Linked DNA regions of Ovis aries. The protein of the gene in region 1 binds, or shares a complex with, the protein of each later gene. Links are inferred from orthologs where the notes say so. Each region holds a gene or a part of one and is shown on either strand. Other genes may lie near its edges.

Region 1 (3,818 bases):
TTTTTTATGTAGGTGGTCAGGGAGGCCTCACCAAAAAGGTAACATTTGAGTAGAGGTCTCGGGGAAGTGAAGGAGGCAACCATGTGTCTGTCTAAGTGGGAAGAGTGTTCCAGGCATAGGGAGCAGCAAGTGCAAAGGCCCTGAGGCCAGCACTTAGGAGCAGCAAGGAGGCTGGTGTGGACCCGTGTGTCCGTGGCTTTGTGTTTTCTGATACTTTCTGATGATACCTTTACTGCTTCTACACGTAGGGCCTGTGAATCCCGAGAGCTCCCTCCAACCCCAGTCCTTCAGTCTCTTACATTTTGCCTTTCCCTTCTAGGAGGAGATTGTGTTGTGCTATCAGCCCAAACTCAGGGCGCCCAAAGGGTACCCCCAGAACTGGGGCCGCTTCCGGAACCGTGTGGACTTGGTGGGAGACACTTCCCGCAATGATGGCTCTATAATGCTCCACGGAGTGAAGGAGTCTGATGGAGGAAACTACACCTGCAGTATCTACCTGGGGAACCTGACCTTCAGGAAAACCACTGTGTTGCAAGTGATCCTGAAAGAGCCCCGAAGTATGTAACATCTGGCCGGGCGGGGAGGAGGGGCTGCATAGCTGGTAGGCAGGGGCAGTACTAGGGTGAAGCTGGAGAGGCTTCTAGGATGCAAAATTTAAGGAGGCATCACTCTCAGGTCCTGTACTTGCCTGCTCCTGATAAGCCTCGTACTTATCAAGCACTCCTACCCTGTGCTTGCATGACCTTGAGAGTAATCCCTCCTTAAATTTGGTCCCCTAGGCACCTTGCCTGCCTCACCCTAGTGCTTCCCTGATGGTAGGTCAAGGGAAAAAAAGGTAATAATACTGAGTGAATGCCAACCCCTCTGCCAAGCCTCACTCATGGTTTCTGTAATATACCAATTTAAAGATACAGGAGCTCAGAGATGGATTTGGGTCATTTTGACTTGGCTTCAAAGGAGATGCTCTATGCTCTGTAGTAGAAGGGAAGATGCTCCTGAGCTGGTGAGAGACAGCAAAGAACAGAGGAAACAGGAAGGGGAAGGAACCAAAAATAGAAGGAGTTTCTGATCCCAGGTTCTTTATTCTGGCAGTGTGTATTAAGGCCATTGGTGAGGAGGAGAGTAAAGACTCAATTGTGTTGACTGAGAGAGGTTGATAAGTAAGGGGTTAAAGTTAAACCGGAACCCAGTTAGCAGTCAGGATGTGGCCTGTGGACTTTGCCTTTTGCGAGGGCCCCAGGGGTTGGCTGTGGTTGGCTGGGGGCAGGGATAGGGGTGAGGAAGCACCTCTACCCTCAATACCTCTGGCCAGAGACTTAAGTCCATGGAGGCGCCTTCTTGTCAGTAACGGAGGATGCCAGCGGGAGAGGGAAGCAGGACAGATGGCTTTCTTCACTCTCAGAAGTCTTCCCTCTGCTTCACAGGAAAGAGAAGCCATTAGCGGGGGCTCATGCAACTTCTGAGCCCTCCACACCCTCAAGCAGACCTCCATCTACTCCTTCCTCGTCTTTGCCTGCCGTCCTGAGCTCCCTTCCCTCTGGGGGCTTATCTGAGCCGCTGTGCTTCTCCTCCTTCTCAGGACCCTCACAACATGCCTCTTTAAGCTCCACGGTCCATGGGCTTCTGCCATTAAGCACACGCATACACTCAACTCTTCCCCTTACCCGTGTCCTTGTCTCCTTTAGCTCTCACCCTATGTCATACCTTTTCTTTTTTCCCCTCTTTCACTTGACCTTTATTTATTTATTTATTTTAATTGGAGGATAATTACTTTGCAGTATGGTGCAAAGTACATCAACATGAATCGCACATAGGCATACACGTGTCCCTTCCCTCTTGAACTCCTCCCCACGTCCCTCCTCCCACCACCCCTCCAGGAGACACAGACATAAAGAACAGGCTTTTGGACTCAGTGGGAGGAGTCGAGAGGGTGGGATGATTGGAGAGAATAGCATTGAAAGATATACATTACCATATGTAAAATAGATAGCCAGTGTCTTACTTTTTCTTGAAACACCTTTATTGAGATACAACTCACACGCCACACAATTCACCCATTTAAAATGTACAACTCAGTGGTTTTAGTATATTCCGAGTTGTGCAACTTTCATCGAGATACATTATGCATTTCTTTCTAGACACAGTCAGATAGTTTGCTAAAGGACTGAACTCAGTGTCTTCTGTCTCATCTTGCATTAACCCCTAGTACTCTGCAGTCAGCCTTCTACTTGCACCTCTCCTCCAGTGTAGGTCACCAGTGGCACTCTAACTGTCTATCCTTGACCTTCCCCACCCCAGTAGCATTGAACACCATGTTCTGTATACGTTTAATATATTCTGTTAGACGCAACCTATCTGTCCATCCATCCATCCATCCATCCATCTCTGTATATGAACGCCACCCAGATATTCCACAAATACTCAAACACAAATAATCCAAATCTACCCCTCACACCTTTCTCCTGCCCACCTCTCCAACCTCAGTTGATGCCACTGCTATCGACATAATTATCCAACTGGATAATCGTACTGGATATTATCCAACTGGATAATCATACTGGATATTATCCAACTGAATAATTGCCTGGGAGTCGTACTTGATTTTTCCCTTTCCCAGGACCCCTAGTCTAACAAGTCAACAGGTCCTGTGATTTCTACTGCTGACTTTGGATCTGTCTTCTTTCTCATCTGGCACCATCCCCTGGCATCATTCTGCCTGTCAACCTGTCTCAGACTGTAGGCCTCTCACCAGTCTCTGCTTTCGCTTTGTCGCTACCCCTCATTCTCGGTGCGATCTTTCTCAATCACAAATCTGAACTTCCTACAGCCTTTCAATGTCTTCTGCATTGCCTACAGAAAAAAACAAAACACAAAGCAAAACGAAAAATTGAAACAAACTCCTCATTGAGATAATCAAGGTCCTTCATGACTTAGATCCTGTTATCTACCCAGCCTCATTCCCCATCACGCCCTCAAACACAACCTTAGACCCTCTTTCTAGTTTCTCTAAGCACCATCCTGAACCGAAAGGCTCCAGATGTTGAGTTTAATATCCCTACCTCCCCCACCCCAATCCTTCTCCCATTGTTGCTAAAATCTTTGATAGTTCGTTTCAGACTCAAATTTTACAACTTTTGCTGACAAAGTCTCAGGTTCTGCTCCCCATAGAACCGGGAGCCCTTTCCTCAGCGCTGCTTTGTCCCGCATGCGGACTGCTCTCACAGTACCTATAGCGTCTGTGGTGTTCCGTGCACACCCTCCCCCTCCTTGAGGGCACAGACCATGCGTCATTGGTCTTTGTATCTTCCGTGCCTAGTACTATCTGGCACCCAGGAGGTGTTTGATGTATGTGTTCGGAGTGAATTGAGGAAATGGGTGAAGGGTGCTATATAGATGGATGGAAGTGTCGTGCTTGGTATCATGACTATGGGGCTGTGTTGTAGCCTAGATACCTTTGAAAACAATCACTTCACCACAGAAAGGGCAGCAGCCTATAACATGTCTGTTTTTGGTGAACCACATTTTAAGATAGAATTGTTAATGTAAACGGAAACTCTGCTGTACGTCAGGTGATATTCTGTTTACCTACCCACCTTCATCTATATTTTAAGGGTAAAAAGGGGTGGGCAAAGGCTGGTTCTCAATCTAAAGGGGTCAGCTGGAGTCCCAGTGCTTCCATGTGGGGTGAAGTCTGGCCTTCTCCCCCTGCTTCCTGACGTGGCAGTTGCTGCTTGGCATAGAGCTGGTGAGGCTCCCAGCTCTTCTCTGGAATGTTGCGGCTCTGTCATTGCTATTCTCCTTTCCCAAGCACTGGTGAC
Region 2 (3,818 bases), on another chromosome or scaffold:
AGGATGAGATGGCTGGATGGCATCACTGACTCGATGGATGTGAGTCTCAGTGAACTCCGGGAGATGGTGATGGACAGGGAGGCCTGGGGTGCTGCGATTCATGGGGTCGCAGAGTCGGACACGACTGAGTGACTGAACTGAACAGTTCTCTCTCTCTCTCTCTCTCTCTCTCTCTTTATATATATATATATATATATATATTTGGAAGGGAAATTTTTACTTGTGGTTCATCTCAAAAAAAGGGATTATCCAGGCAGCAGTTAGTGGCTGAATCAGTGCAGTTAGGTAATTAATTGTTTTTGGCAAATACAAGTAGTGTGCCCATGTTGTTTTTGTGAAGGAAAAAATTAAGGTGCTTTCCTGAGTTGTAAGTGGCTGGGGCCACTCCCTCCAAGGATATATCTCTACCCTGATTCTGATATGAGAACTTCCTTCTCTCCCTGAAGGAAAAGAAATTGAGCCCAACTCCTCCTGTCTACTCAGCCCGGATACCCTGTCCCCCTCCCATCTTGCTCTTCATCCCTCCCCTCTTCCCATGGCAGTGCCAATACCCTGAACTCAGGCTTCTGCCTGAGCCCTGCACGCCCCTCATTCCTTTGCCAGTGAAGTGCCTACCTCCTTTAGAATCCAGGACTCTGGTTCCATGGTTGAGATGCGAGAATGGAGAGCACAGATCCTGGCTTAAGGCTCAGGGGTGAAGCCCTGTGACAAGGTGCCTCTTGAGATCAAAAAGGCCAGTGTGTCCTGGAGCCTTGTGTTTCCATTCAGGGAAGGAGAATCCAAGGACTTCTTTGTTAAGTGGGAGCCACTTAGTCACAAGCCACACAGTCCACAGGACTGAGAGACAAATGTGATAGTGGGTGCTGGGCTGAAGTGTCCATTTCTGGGTTAAGACACCTAGCCTCTAACCTAAAGCACAGTAAATAAGGCCAAAAGAAAGAAGAGTTAGGGAGAGATTGATGCATAGGAGGATGTGTGCATAGAATTACAACTGTATTATAATGCTTGCTAAATCCTTCTTGTAATATTTTTAAGCTAGCAGGTAGTGTGATGGGGGCCTGGGCTGGAGAAATTTCCCTCCTCATTCCCTGCATGATCTCTTTAATCAGCAGTTATGATGTACTCATTCACTTACCGTGTGCTGAGCTTTATATGCTTTATAAACCCTGGACAGGGTTTTATATACTTTAATTATATATACTTACTTAAGTTTTAAAACAACACCCCAGAATGAAGATCATTATACATTCGAGGAGGAGGAAAAGGAGGGCCCAGGAATTTGAAGGAACATGCCCAGGGTCACGTAGCTGGCAACAAACACAGCAGGGGTTTTGAGCCCAGATCTTTCCCGACTACTCCTCCCACCCCCCGTGGGAGGTGTTGACCCGTCTGGATTATCTTATACAGTATCATGTACTGCCTCCCATATTTCATAAGCCTCTGTTTCCTCATATGTAAACTAAGAGCAGGTACACTTGCTTCTCAGGGTTGTGATAAGAATTTTCTGAAAATACTGTATGGTTTAGTGTTTTCTGAGTCTACAAGTCATACAGAAATGTTCATGTAGGCAGCCTGCAATGCCAGACCGGATGGATGTGGTTTCCATCGCAGCGGTATTGAGAGAGTTGGTCTGTGGCAGCCACTGCCTTCCGCACGGTTAAAACGTTAAATGTGGATCGTGCCTCCATCCCCATTGGGCTGTAAAGAGGAATCAAAATTGCCTGGTACATGTTACTTCTCCATTTCTTAGCTACTGTTTGTAAAATTGTTTTCATGAGAACATGACCACGTTAGTTTACAAAAATGACTGACCGTGAAGACATATTTGTCAGGCCCTCCTTGAAAGGCTGGGCTTCCACGTGGCTCAGTGGTAAAGAATCCGCCTGCCAATGCAGGAGACTCCAGTTCGATCCCTGGATCAGAAAGATCCCCTGGAGAAGGAGATGGCAATCCGCTCCAATATTCTTGACTGAGAAATCCCACGGACAGAGGATGCTGGCAGGCTGTGGTTCACGGGTTCACAAAGAGTCAGACACGACTTAGGGACTGACGACTAGGGCCTCCTAGAAAGGCGTGTGTGTATGTGTAAAAATGAGGGGTTCAAAGTATCATGGGTTGAACTTCCTGGCTTTTCACAACAAGAGAGTCCATGGGATAATACAGAGGAAGATACATTTAAGGAGCTCTCAGTACTGCTGTTGACAGGTGGATGTGGGCAGAGATGGAGCAAATAAAGTGATGGCTTATGTTTACAGAGCAAGTCAGCTGTGGACCCTTCAACTGCTTTTATTTACTTAGCAAGCTGATATTGAGTGCTTCCTCAGTGCTGACTCTTAATATGTAAGCAAAAGATCTTTAGTGAATTAGGAGCGGGGGCAACATGGTAGAGGAGGAGATGAAAGAAAACCCAAGTCTGTGCTCTGGAGAAATTCCTACACATAGTGCCGATTCCGATCTTACTGAACGTACCAGATGAATGGTCTGCAGGATGTATGCTGTAGTTTTCTGATTATTATTTAAGTTTGGTACTATTGCTCTTTGGCCCTTGGGTCTCAGATGGGCCAGAATGAAGGACTTCATGAGTGAATAAAATGTATGAAGTATTTAAATTAATTTTCAGTTCAGTTCAGTCGTGAAGGGTCTTTGCTTTTAGTCTCTGAAAATTTATTGGAAGGTCCTGTTAACCAGGTTGGGCAGACACATCTTAACAGGTTTATGATTTTATCTGTTGTAGTCTGGAACCTTCAAGTGCCCCTAGCTTAGTATATTAAGATAAAAAAATGTCTTTGTTGTTGTTACTGTTCTTAAGTTCCACAGGTAAATTATCATAAGCCCTCTTTGGGGAGTAGTGGTGGTGGTTGATAACCTGATTGTATACAGTTGATTGGCATACTTCTTTCTCTGAGGCAGCTGAAAAACAGAGTGCATAAGAATTCACAAATCCACGCTCTTGTGGGTCTCACCGTATGGCTCGCATAGAGGACTGTATTATTTAATCATGTCGGGTCTTGGTTTCCCCATCTGTAATGACCGTGTGTTAAAATACTTAAGGATCATATTGGCCTCTTTCTGTTTTCTTGAGAGCTCGTTTGGAGATTCTAGTAGGAGAGCACAGCTACTCGTTAAACCCTTGACTGAAGACCGATCCTCCTCTATCGGGGATGGTCTTCATCTCCCACCGTGTGTGCAGCTTCAGGAGGGGCGCTCCTGGAGGGGCGCTCCTGGAGTGGTGAGGGAGGGAGGGGCTAATCTAGCCAGCCAGATCAGCTGAATCAGCCCCGGTGATCAGTGGGCTGACAGATGTTGCAAACAGGTCGCCCTCACATCCTCCTTCCATTTTCTTAACCTGTGGTTTGAATAGTTGTAGATTCCTCAGAATATTGTGTTCTTTTTTTGTTTTTTTGGATCCTTACAGTACTGTGGTGTATCTAGAACTCCTTTAACAAGACAGGGAGTTCACTTGCTTGCTTGTTTTCTCATTGTCTTATTTTGGCTTTCTATCAGATTATTTTATATTCCGGAGACAAAATTTATGATGACTACTATCAAGATCTGAAAGGACGAGTACATTTTACAAGTAATGATCTCAAATCTGGTGACGCTTCAATAAATGTGACAAATTTACAGTTGTCCGATATTGGCACATATCAGTGCAAAGTGAAAAAAGCTCCTGGTGTTGGAAATAAGAAGATTCAGCTGACAGTTCTTGGTAAGTTACTTATTAACAGGGTAAGGGATCACAGTACTGTAGTAGCAGCATTTACGTGAGACAAAACTTAGAATTTTAGAGTAGTAAGTTTAAATATTTGACATACTGT

Evidence for each region.
Region 2: the proteins of JAML (region 1) and CXADR are in contact, whole or in part, in a crystal structure (PDB 3MJ7), measured with the Mus musculus proteins. The link is inferred for Ovis aries from reciprocal best matches to the Homo sapiens genes JAML and CXADR. Residues at the interface, in NP_001005421.3 of Mus musculus: Arg57, Asp59, Ala69, Tyr72, Phe75, Tyr77, Leu80, Val82, Glu120, Arg122, Ser127, Met128, Val129, Met130, Lys131; in NP_001020363.1 of Mus musculus: Thr23, Gly51, Pro52, Asp54, Glu56, Leu58, Ser60, Gln65, Ile66, Val67, Asp68, Gln69, Val70, Leu73, Tyr83, Lys121, Lys123, Lys124, Ala125, Pro126, Gly127, Val128, Asn130.

What each region holds. Positions count from the first base shown.
Region 1 is NC_056068.1:28,632,836-28,636,653, reverse strand, and holds part of JAML (junctional adhesion molecule-like), read left to right. Parts: intron 1-319; coding exon 320-557; exon of another isoform or gene 558-1,416; intron 1,417-3,808; coding exon 3,809-3,818. UniProt on the Homo sapiens protein: Transmembrane protein of the plasma membrane of leukocytes that control their migration and activation through interaction with CXADR, a plasma membrane receptor found on adjacent epithelial and endothelial cells.
Region 2 is NC_056054.1:140,291,010-140,294,827, reverse strand, and holds part of CXADR (coxsackievirus and adenovirus receptor), read left to right. Parts: intron 1-3,504; coding exon 3,505-3,709; intron 3,710-3,818. UniProt on the Homo sapiens protein: Component of the epithelial apical junction complex that may function as a homophilic cell adhesion molecule and is essential for tight junction integrity.